Linked DNA regions of Astyanax mexicanus. The protein of the gene in region 1 purifies or fractionates together with the protein of each later gene. This does not show direct contact. Links are inferred from orthologs where the notes say so. Each region holds a gene or a part of one and is shown on either strand. Other genes may lie near its edges. The genes, in order: nop56, gnl3 and nolc1.

Region 1 (3,754 bases):
AAATACTAGTCCAACAACTAAATCTAATAGTTGTTTCTTTTTGTGTTAAAGCAGTAGAGGCTATGATGATATATTCCCAGCAGAGGGCGCACCGGTGCAGTTTAACGCGGAACAACTGACAAAAATATATAATAAATATATATAATAAATATATAGAAATTAAATTTCATTAAATGATCTATATGTCAAAATGTGAAATATAAAAATATATATATAATTTAAAAAATAATAAAATAAAAACATATTTTAAATGTATATTAAATTAAATATAAATAATAACAATAATTATCAGGCATTTAATAAATAATTCATCATTATATTAATAAATAATGTGTGTAAAAATGGCTGAAAACATACGTCCAACAAAAAGAAAAAAAATAATCTATATATTTTTTGTACTCTGCCTAGACTCGAAAAAATGTAGTATTTTTTACATTTTGAAATAAAAATTAAATAAAAAGCTTTTGTTTGTTAAGTGCTGTTAAAAGCAATGCATGTATAAATTCAAGATATATAAAAATCATATGTGCAAACTAATAGTATTGTATTATTATATTTACGCTTGTTTATATTAATATTGTTTATCGGAATTACTGATATTATTATTATTTTTGTTGTGATTGTTATAAATGAGCAAAATGCTCATTTTTAATGTATATTTTTATTAATAAATACTACAATTTAAACATGAGGTAGGCCAAGTAGATTGGAAAATGAATATTGAATGGTTTTGATATAATATATATATTTCCTCACATGTAAATAATACACAGTACTCAGGGTTTATAATTTAAAAATTATCCTAATAAATGTTATTCTAGCTAAATATCCATGCAATTTAATGCTATAATATCAGAGGAAGTTCTAACTTTATTGTTTTTATAAGAGAAACACCGCGAGATCTGTTGTACCAGCACGGATCTGAAATCTCGCGAGAGTGGTAACATAAAGCTCCACATGGCCTCCCCTCGGCAGCACATGCAGCCTCTTCTTTCTGCAGCAGCTTCAGTAGAGGGAGGCACGCGGAAATCAGAGCAGGATGGTAGCTACCACTTTTAAACACTTTATTTACCTGGAAATACTATTTAATACTCGTTTATTAGCGCATTATTCTAAAAGTTAAAGCTTTAATTACGCTGGTTGTGATAATAACTTTTGGCATTTTCTGATAAATAAGCTTAAAATCGACTAGAATTTGGGGCATATTTGTGTAACTTAGCTGAATTTGTATGAGTTTGGCATTACCTTAAATTGTGAATTAGTGAATTATGCTTATTTTTAAACATTTTATGAAAATTATAAAGTGAGCTTGGGGTCTAATTTAAGCCAGAATGTCTAAAAATAGCTGTTGAAATGTTTGTTAGCTAATAATCACGTTGCGTAGCTGCTGCTGCTGCTGTTAGGCCCTGGCCTAGTTTTCCTATGGCGTTTTTCCCTTTAACGCAGCGCAGCATAAAACATTCTTGCAATATACGTTATTTATTTTATTTAAAGCTATATTTTTCTTTTATTTTATATGAATCCGTTTTATTAAATGTATAATTTGAGTGGATATGGTCTGCAGGAGGAACACGTGGGGCACTCGCCTTCAACATGTGTTCAAAACCAGTTAGCGTTAGCTAGGTTAAGCTACATAGCTAGCGTTAGCGTTTGGAAGAAACTGAACATTTTATTTGGTTATAGCCAAGTTTCTCCATTAAAAAGACTCCCATGTGAGCTTTATCTGCTCTAATGTATCCTCCGTGTTCATTAACGTTTATTAAATAAGTTATAAGTAATATTTTTACTGTTTCTAGAGGTCAGGGCTGCAGGAGCGGTTCACGCGCAAACCACGTGTCTGCATTTCTGCAGCGTTTTTGAGCGACTTCAGCTAAACTAAACTAGCTAACAGTTAGTTACAGGCATTTAAATAGATAAAGCTATGCTTTAGCCATCACTCTAAAAACATGTTAATATTACTGTAATCTTTTTCTTTTATTTTCTAGAATGTGTGTTAATATCTTAATATAACCGTAAAATTAAGTTTTGAGTCCTGTGAACCTAAACGCGGGCTAGCTAAATATTACTTCTATGTTTTAGGATTTTAATATTTAATTTTTTAAAGAAAAAAATAATGTTTAAGATCTTAAATAACCCTTTTTAAAATAAGCTATTGGTCCCTGTGAGCCTAAGTTTACTTTTTTAACATTTAATTTAAAATCTTTTTTTGAGCATAAGTTTTATGATAAATCTTTAAAAAAAATAAATAAATAAATTGGCCCCTGTGAGCTTAAACGTTGACTAGTTTAAGTGGAAGTACCTGAACTAAAAAATAATCTATATCATTATTTACCTTGAGAAATAACTTAGATTGTTAGTTTTGCTGTAGTTTAACTGCTTTTATTGTACGTTTAATAACATGGGACCCTATTAGTGTAACAAGGGCTCTGTGATATTAGCAAACATTTTAATCTCATATCCCTATAATTCTGCACAGTGTAAAAAAAAAAAAGTTTTTTATAAAATAACCGTGTTAAAAAGCCACGTGTATTACACTCAACAACTAATTATTGTTTTATTGCGAAATCTTTTACTCAACATTTTTTAAACACAGTAAAATTGTTAAAACGCGGCTTTAAATGAAGCCGGAAGATAATTCAGAGACCCCTAAATCGAAAGCCTCAAATACCAAATTTGGTACAAACCCGTTTTAAATCATTTTGCCTAATTAGGAGTTATTTTAATCTAGAGCTTACATACATCAATGTTTTATCATATTGTGTGTTATTGTATCAACAGTAAGCATATTCAGGATATCAGTATCAGTCAATCTTTTATTTTTTGCTTAGTCGATGACTGACACTACTGATGCATTTTTGGCTGCCTGTTAAAATGAAATTCTGTATATTTTAAATATTTAAAATTGATATCTTTAACGTTTCGCTTAGCTGACAAGTCTGTAGTTTTAAGTGTGTTCTTAAGGTACTAAAGTGGGAATAATTATAATAATAATAAAAAACAAATTTAGAATTCATACAATATGGTAGTGATGGGTAATTTCAGAGATTTTATAGCTGGACAAATTTTTTAAATTCACTTATTTATTCCCCTCCAGGTGCTCTTACACGTGCTGTTTGAGCATGCGTCAGGCTATGCCCTGTTCGCCGTCAAAGAAGTTGAAGAGATCGGCATGCTTTTACCTCAGGTGCGTTTTTATTTTATTAAATCTTCAGGACATTTTCTTAGTGTCTTTTTGTGCTGAGCTAATTTTATGTGCAGCATCTGATTAGATTTTTTTGCTCTTTTTGTATTCAGGTGGAGGAAAGTGTTTTGAATATTGGGAAATTCAACACTGTTGTAAAACTGGCAGCTTTTTTCCCCTTTAAATCTGCACAGGCTGCACTTGAGAACATAAATGCCATTTCAGAAGGTAAGTAAAACCAGGCTTTGAGCTCTGATAGTGTAGCTCAGATAGTGATGTGATTATAGTCTGTCAATCCACTGAATGATTGTGCTGACAACATAAAATACCTAACTGAATCTGAGTGAAAACTGAAACTACATGTTAATAAAACTTCTTAAAGACACAAGTGAATGATCAATAACTGATAAGTGGTTGAATCTCTTGTTAGGAGTCGTCCATGCAGACCTTAAACTGTTTTTGGAAACAAACCTGCCTTCTGGAGGCAAGAAGAAGGCTATGCTTGGTGTGGCCGATGGCAAGATTGGAGCAGCACTGCAAGAAGAGTTGGGCCTGTCCATTCAGACTGGAGGA
Region 2 (3,754 bases), on another chromosome or scaffold:
AGCTCCTTGCATCTGAACACCTTGTTGCTTTTCTCCTTGGCGACAGCTGCCCTAGCTTGCCTCTGAGCCTTTACCTTCTCCTCCTAAAAGCAACGACATCTTTAGAGGCAAATACAGAAATACATTTTCTTTTTTTCCATTGTTTCAACCTCACATGCAATTCACCTTTTTAACTCTCTTTGACTTTGGCTCCTCAGCACCACTGACGCCATCTTTGGCCGCCTTTCTCTTCTCTGCTCGCTCCTTCTGCTTGGCTAGTCTGTTCTTTTCCTTCAGCTCTTCAAGCTGTGGAACAGATATAACAGAATTACTTAGCTCTGCAAATTTTTAACCCATAAAACAAAGCAGACGGACTTAGCATGTAATTTCGTAGGACCTCCTGTTTCCTCTGCTCTGCTTCTCTAAGGACCTCTTCCTTAAATGGAGCACTGTTTGGTACTTCAATGTCCTTCTTGAGCTTTCTCTTGATTCCACTTTTCTTCGCCTCCTTCCGTAATTTTTTGTGGTGTTCCCGAACCTGGAATGGGTAAAACAAAGATAAATGTTAATGATTGTGCGCAATAGTATATCAAAAAATTACATATTTATATAAATATACAAAAAACACTTTGAAAGCTGTGTAATTAGCATTTGTATTGCTATTAACAGTATTTATATTTAATTATTTGTATACAGTTTAAATGCAGCACTAAACATTTTTGTTTTATGTATATAGATGTATATAGATTATGGGCAAAATTTTTATCAGAATTCACTGTTTTTTTTTTTTTTTTTAAATTGGTCGATACACTATACTCTGATAACAATATGAACATCAGCTCACAGATGCCTTGTGCTTATCGACATACCCTAGGATTGATGAGGGAGAGTGCCATCTACCCACCCAGAGGGAGCTAGGCCCATTGTGCTCTCTCAGGGCTCCGGCAGCTGATGGCAAGCTACATGACCAGAATTTAAACCAACCATGATCTCCCAATCACAGTGGCTAGACTTTAGACTGCTGGACCACTTGAGTATCCCTTGTAATGTAATGTTTTGTCATATTTTTTTTTGTGCCAGTAAGTGAAGACAGTCAACTAACGTTACTGTCTGATTCAGTGACCATGTGTGTCACACAGTTTGATCACAGCTGCAACTTTGTGACCAAACTGACAATATGGACCAGTTTAGAATGTACAGTATTGAGCTATATCCACTCAAAACTGTTTGTGTTACAACAGCAGTAAATAAACTATATGTTAACTAGGTTATTGATCTTTTATGTTTTAACTAGTTAACCTAGTTAACTAGCAACACAGCAAGTAGCTAAACAGCAAGCATATTTAAACTACGCAGGTTAAGCGTAAGATTTCTTACCTTTTTCTGAATTTTGAAGCGTTTAGCGCAGGATACGCGCTTGCTTCCCTTCTTTAACTCTAAAAGACAGAAAAGAAAAAAGAAAAATTAAGTTAGCTAACTAACGTTATTTAACCCTTTAATTTTCACAACACGCTGACTCCACAACGTCGGCTAGCCAGCTAACTAACCTATTAACTAAGTTCCATAACAGCTAACCTACACATTTAGCTAAATACCCAATTAATAAATTAAAAATTCAAATTAAAGAACGATTAGTTAGTTAACCTAGTTATAATTTTCACAACACGCTGACTCAACAACGTCGGCAAGCTAGCCAGCTAGCTTAACTAAACTATTCGGTTAACAGTTCTAATTATAACAACTAACCTACCAACACATTTAGCTAACTTAATACCTTAACTAGCTATTACCTAACTACAGATATATGTTTAAAAAAAATGAGGAAAATATAGCTTAGTTAGCTTGTTAGTAACGCTATATTTTTTACAACACGCTGCCTCACGTTGAGACAGCGTGTTGTAAAAATATAGCGTCTATGCTAAGCTAACGTGGCTATAAGTTAAGTAAAGCTAGCGCACACAACTAACTACGTACATATTTCAAGTTTAACTGGCCTAAACCATATGATAAAGAGTTAACTATATCTCTATTTCCCGCTGTAATTGTTAATAAACGCGTTTTTAAAGCGGTTATCGTGACTCACTCGGTCGCTTCATGGCTCTCTCTCGGCGGCTGCTGCTGCTGTTCGCACACGTGCACTGAAACCAATGGAGCAGCGCGTGCAGCGAGCGCGCGCACGGTTTCCGTTTCCGCCGTCTGAACCGAAATGGTTAATTTTTTCTCTCCATCTAATAAATTCACTCTGCTTATTATTCCAAATGCCTCCAACCGCCCGCAAACACCACACACAGGCCCGGACTCAACGCTGAGGTAAGGCTCACCCGCCAAGCGCCGTTTTCCTCCAGCGGTGCTGGTAGATAGTTTATCAGCTCAGCGGGCGAGGCAGCAGGACGGCGCCGGGAGAGGAGGCGAGCATCCCGGCTACAGCTAGCTACAGGCTCCGGCCGGCGCGCCTTTGTGTTTGTGGAGCGGAGCCGCTGCTGAAGCTGCTGCTGCTGAAGCTGCTGTCATCCATCCATTCACACCAGCACTGTAATAATCCTGCCCTGGACTATAACACTCCACGCAGCCCGGGCTGTGAGATATTCCTCTCATCTTAAATAAGGAGTTGTGCATTAAGTGTTGAAATTAATCTACATTTTTTTTTATATAAAAACAGATTCCTGAGCTTTGATTTATTCCACACTGTGGAACAATAGAGTGCAGGGTATTATATTAAGCTAGTGAACCCAAATCAAACAATACAGTGTCTATGTTATAAACACATGTTTATAGCTAAATATTATTATTTCCCACCTGTTTTTTCATGATTTGTTGTGAAATCTGTTGTGACACTGCTCCCCATAAACCAGAAACCACTGGACTGACTGGTTGTTGACTGGACGTCTGCTGGGACCAATATAAAAGAGTAGATGATTCAGGTGGTGCTTGGTTTAAAAAACGGTGGTGATATTTTAATTAAAATACTGTATATTGAGTTAAACCTTGGTTCCAGGCTGCTTTTAATTAATTAATTTTTACAGTATAAACCTTTTTTATACTGAAGAAGAAAAAAGTAAAATTATGGAAATACATAAAATAAAGGCATTATCCCATCTACTGTACATAACCGCTAACTGATAATATAATAAGTCAAGCAATAAAAATATTATTAGCAAATGTTACCATGTGGAAGTCAATTTGGGCTTAAAGAAGTGTTTTTATACACTGACTGGCCACCTAGATTTAACTGAGCAAATGATCAGCAAATGAGGTTGCTGCACTTGGTCAGGTTTAGGTTTAGCAACAGTATGTGCTGAAAGAATGAGGTCAGCTGACTACCTGAATATAGACCAGGTTATTCCATCAATTGATTTTTTCTTCCCTGATGGCACAGGCATATTCAGAGATAACAATGCCAGCAATTCACGAGGCTGGAATTGTGAAAGAGTTTCAGGTTCAGGGAGCATGAGATCATCATTTTCACACATGGATTGAGAGAGTTCACCACAGAGTCCAGATCTTAACCTCATTAAGAATCTTTGGGCTGTGCTGGATGGAGAAGAATTTGTGCAGCAGTCAGACTCTACCATCGTCAATGCTGCTGCAAGATCTTGGTGAAAAAGTACTGGATTGAAATAATTTTGGGACGTTGCAGAAGCTTATCAAAACAATACCACAGTGAATGTGTGCCGCAATCAAAGCTGAAGGCGGTCCAACCAAATTTTAGAGTATGGGCTGCATCCTATATTGGTGCCATGCTGGAATTCACTGAGCTCCCGAGAGGCCAATTCTT
Region 3 (3,754 bases), on another chromosome or scaffold:
TTGATCTTGTTACTCTTAAAAACATTTGTTTTCCATTCTTTGTAAAGCATAATCTGTTATACAGTCCAATATTCCTGAGGTAATTACAGTCATGTTATATTGCTAACAAACACAGCAGCTTGGCTCAGCAAGGTTGGAGCAGGTTAGTCATGATGCTAACAGCTGGCCCTGGCCGAGTTAGACCAGGTTAACCACAATGCCAAAAGCTGGGTTTGACAGTGGTGGACCAGGTTAGCCGTGATGCTATAAACCAGGCGAGATTGAAGCAATTTCCTGTAATGTTAACATTAAATCTCTAGCCAGGTGGGAGCCCCAATGCTAACAGACTGAACAGCCACGTACAGATAATTTAGTGCAGATGAGCCACAGCCTACAGGGTTAGAGTCGTAATGCTAACAGACACAGCAGCTGGTCTAGGCAGGGCTGGAGCAGGTTCTCTGTGATGATAAAAGCTTGGCTCGTTAGCCTAGTGCACTTGTGTTACTTTGAATACTTTGGACACCTTTCGTTTAGGGCACCAGGTGTGTAGTGTGCCGTGTGTAGTGTGCAGCATGTAGGGCACTAGATGTGTAGTGTGCAGCGTGTCGGGCACCAGAGGTGTAGTGCTCATTGTGTAGGGCACTAGGTGTGTAGTGTGCACTGTGTAGGGCACTAGGTGTGTAGTATGCAGCGTGTCGGGCACCAGAGATGTAGTGCTCATTGTGTAGGGCACTAGGTGTGTAGTGTGCACTGTGTAGGGCACTAGGTGTGTAGTGTGTGGGGCACTAGGTGTGTATTGTGCAGTGAGTAGAGCACTAGTCATAGACATGTATACTGAAAATAGACATGCATACATAAACGCCGCATAGCCGGCCTCCTGGCGTATCAGCCGGCCGCCATATTGGAGGAGTCAACCACTCGCCCCTAGTTCATTTATTAGTACGGAGGAAGGTATTTAAAACACCTATAATAATCACAACTCTATCAAAGTGTACCCGATTTTTACAGGGTTTGGTTTGTTTTAAACAGCAGAGCAGAGATGTAGCTATGCTATAGGAAGCTGTTACACATTAAGAATACGTTATATACGTTTATGCTGAAATAACCTGTATTATGTTTATATGGTATACATGCTCTAGGGCGCATGGGAGACTCCTCCAATATGGCGGCCGGCTGACATGCCAGCTTCAAAAGGCGGCGTCTGTTTCGGACGTGCCTTCGTTTAGGCGTAAAACGTGTGGATGCCGTGTTTCTTCGTCATTTCCTGTGCGCGCAGTCGGTGTGGTATAGAGAAGATGGCGGAGGTCGGCGTGGTTCCGAGTGATCTATTCCCGTATGTTTACTCTTTTCTGCTCCAGAACAAGTTCAGCAAGGCGGCCCAGGAGTTTATGAAGAAGACTAAAGTGGTGAGTGCCCGGTAACCGGTCCCGTTGTGGCGCGCGGTACGTTTCTGCGAGACGGGGAGTCCGGCTGCGCGCGCGCTGTAAACACGTGTTCAGTACGGCGCGCGAGGGGCAGCGCGAGCCGATTATTGCACGGGTTACAAGCCAAAGTTACTTACTGCGCAGGTTACTGTCCGCGGTACTGCCCTGGTTACTGCCTACGGTAACTACTGCCCGGGTTACTGCTCGCGGTGCTCCGAACACAGAACCAAAGGGTGACCGATTATAACCGGTATAAGTAACGTTATATCTGTGCTAATCCTGATCAGGACTCACAGCGGTAACGTTACTGAAGAACCGGGCAGAGCAGCGTTACTGTAATAATAATACTCAACTTATTTATTACCACTTATTTTATATCCCGTCATATTATAACTAGATATTAAAATACATACTACTGAAAGTACGGTGTAATAACCTAACCAAAAACTAGTGTTCTTTGCTGAGGGAATCACTGTGCCATACAGGGTTAAAACTATGTATCTAAATACTTATTTTTAAACTTTATTTTGTTTAAACATGAAAAAGCAGGCTGTACTATTTAGAGTAAATTCAGACTGAATTTAGTGCAATTAAAGTAAGAATTACAGTTTTATGTAGAGAAGATAAACTAGCTAGAGATCTGTGAGCACGTGGTAAAGTCCACGTTTCTCCTCCAGTCATCAAACACACCAGTTCACCCACTGTTTTCTCCTCCAGTCATCACACACACCAGTTCACCCACTGTTTTTTTTAGCCACTGTTTCCATGATCTTAACTAGTAGATTGAGAACTTGTTTGTTCAGACTGATCCTGCTGGAACCGGTTCATTTAAAAGTCATTTTAATAGCTGAGAGGAAAGCAGGTTCTGGATCATAACTACATTTAATACAGGAAGAGGAGGATAATTACAACAAATTAAATACATGTTTTTTTTTCTGTAAGCACATACACACTTACTGTCGGGATTGTTAGCTTAGTTTTCTGACATTCTATCTGTACCTTCATACCATTAGTCCGTTACATCCACTGATTACTTACTGTAATAATAACCACTTGATAAATGATGTACAACAGCACCAGTGGATAGTTTTGACACACCTTCTCATTCAGTGTTTTTTATTTATTTATGATTTTCTACATTTGTAGATGAATATTAAAGACTAGAAATCAATTAAGGGACACATATGGAATTACATAGTAAATGTGGATGAGCAAGCATGTTGACTGTTTACAAATGTATTTTAGTTATTTAGAATATTTGAAAGGTATTTCAATTGAATTGCCTGGATATTCTTAATTATTAAAAGCTTATTGCTCTTTTAAAGGTATGTGTATTTTATGCTATTATGTTATCTTTACAGCAGTGTTGAAAATGACTGCTAGTTAAGCACTGTAATTCCTGGGAAATTGTTATTGTTAATTATTGTAACAGGCAATATGTACAAAAGGTAATTCATGTGAATTTGGAGCTATTAGTAAGGTAGTAGTTTGGTGTAATTATACATAAGTAATAAAGATTGTCTCAATTCAGAAACCTCAAGACGAAAATGAAGAAGGACTCCTTGACGTCTTCCAGTTCTGGGTCAAGTAAGTGAATGTTTATTACTAACCCTGTTAAAGTTACTTTGTGGGCAAAGCACTTTTAATTTTGCGATGTTGGAGGTTCGTAATTGTAACACACGTCTGTGTGTGTACGTTTAGATCTGGAGAGTCCAAAAAGCGTAAGGCCGTTACTAATGGACCTGCTGCAGTCAACGGGCCGTCTGCGAAGAAGACCAAAAGGGAGAGCTCCAGTAGTGAAGAGTCGAGCAGTGATGAGGAGGAAGCCCCAGCTGCAAAGAAAACTCCTCCAGGTAACCTATTGCTGTAATCAATCAATCAATCAATCTTTATTTTGATTCAGAAGTACATTGAGAGCAACCCTCATTTTCATTGTAGCTGAGCATCTACAGAAATGGGGATTGACATGACAAAGAAAATAATAGCTACATTTAATTATTTAAAATTACAGTAAATCTTCTCTATCCCATTATTTCCCTTCGACCACCTTTAAGCCCTATCTAAAGATGTTTTACCTTTAACTTCTATTACTTTTGGACTTGACTATTGTAAGTCGCTTTGGACAAAAGCGTCTGCCAAATATAATGTAATGTAATGTAAAATATAAAAATAGATAAAAAAATAAAATAAAAATAGTTAGAATAAAAATAAATTAATAATAATTTATTATAAAGCTTGGTTTAAGTGATACAAAATTAAGATCAAAAGAAGATAAGATTAATACAACGAAAAAATTAGTTAAAATGTGCTAAAACTGACCAATACAAAGAAAAAATAAAAAAGACTTACTT

The links.
Region 2: the proteins of nop56 (region 1) and gnl3 purify together in Homo sapiens (affinity purification with mass spectrometry; 4 studies listed by BioGRID and IntAct, with this or other methods). This does not show direct contact. The link is inferred for Astyanax mexicanus from reciprocal best matches to the Homo sapiens genes NOP56 and GNL3.
Region 3: the proteins of nop56 (region 1) and nolc1 purify together in Homo sapiens (affinity purification with mass spectrometry; 6 studies listed by BioGRID and IntAct, with this or other methods). This does not show direct contact. The link is inferred for Astyanax mexicanus from reciprocal best matches to the Homo sapiens genes NOP56 and NOLC1.

What each region holds. Positions count from the first base shown.
Region 1 is NC_064424.1:42,804,209-42,807,962, forward strand, and holds the start of nop56 (nucleolar protein 56), read left to right. Parts: upstream 1-941; 5' UTR 942-1,039; coding exon 1,040-1,042; intron 1,043-3,094; coding exon 3,095-3,184; intron 3,185-3,294; coding exon 3,295-3,409; intron 3,410-3,611; coding exon 3,612-3,754. UniProt on the Homo sapiens protein: Involved in the early to middle stages of 60S ribosomal subunit biogenesis. Required for the biogenesis of box C/D snoRNAs such U3, U8 and U14 snoRNAs. Part of the small subunit (SSU) processome, first precursor of the small eukaryotic ribosomal subunit.
Region 2 is NC_064431.1:25,174,878-25,178,631, forward strand, and holds the start of gnl3 (guanine nucleotide-binding protein-like 3), read right to left. Parts: upstream 2,168-3,754; 5' UTR 2,076-2,167; coding exon 2,063-2,075; intron 1,416-2,062; coding exon 1,357-1,415; intron 518-1,356; coding exon 377-517; intron 286-376; coding exon 166-285; intron 84-165; coding exon 1-83. UniProt on the Homo sapiens protein: May be required to maintain the proliferative capacity of stem cells. Stabilizes MDM2 by preventing its ubiquitination, and hence proteasomal degradation.
Region 3 is NC_064414.1:4,018,786-4,022,539, reverse strand, and holds the start of nolc1 (nucleolar and coiled-body phosphoprotein 1), read left to right. Parts: upstream 1-1,227; 5' UTR 1,228-1,274; coding exon 1,275-1,385; intron 1,386-2,934; coding exon 2,935-2,990; intron 2,991-3,104; coding exon 3,105-3,256; intron 3,257-3,754. UniProt on the Homo sapiens protein: Nucleolar protein that acts as a regulator of RNA polymerase I by connecting RNA polymerase I with enzymes responsible for ribosomal processing and modification.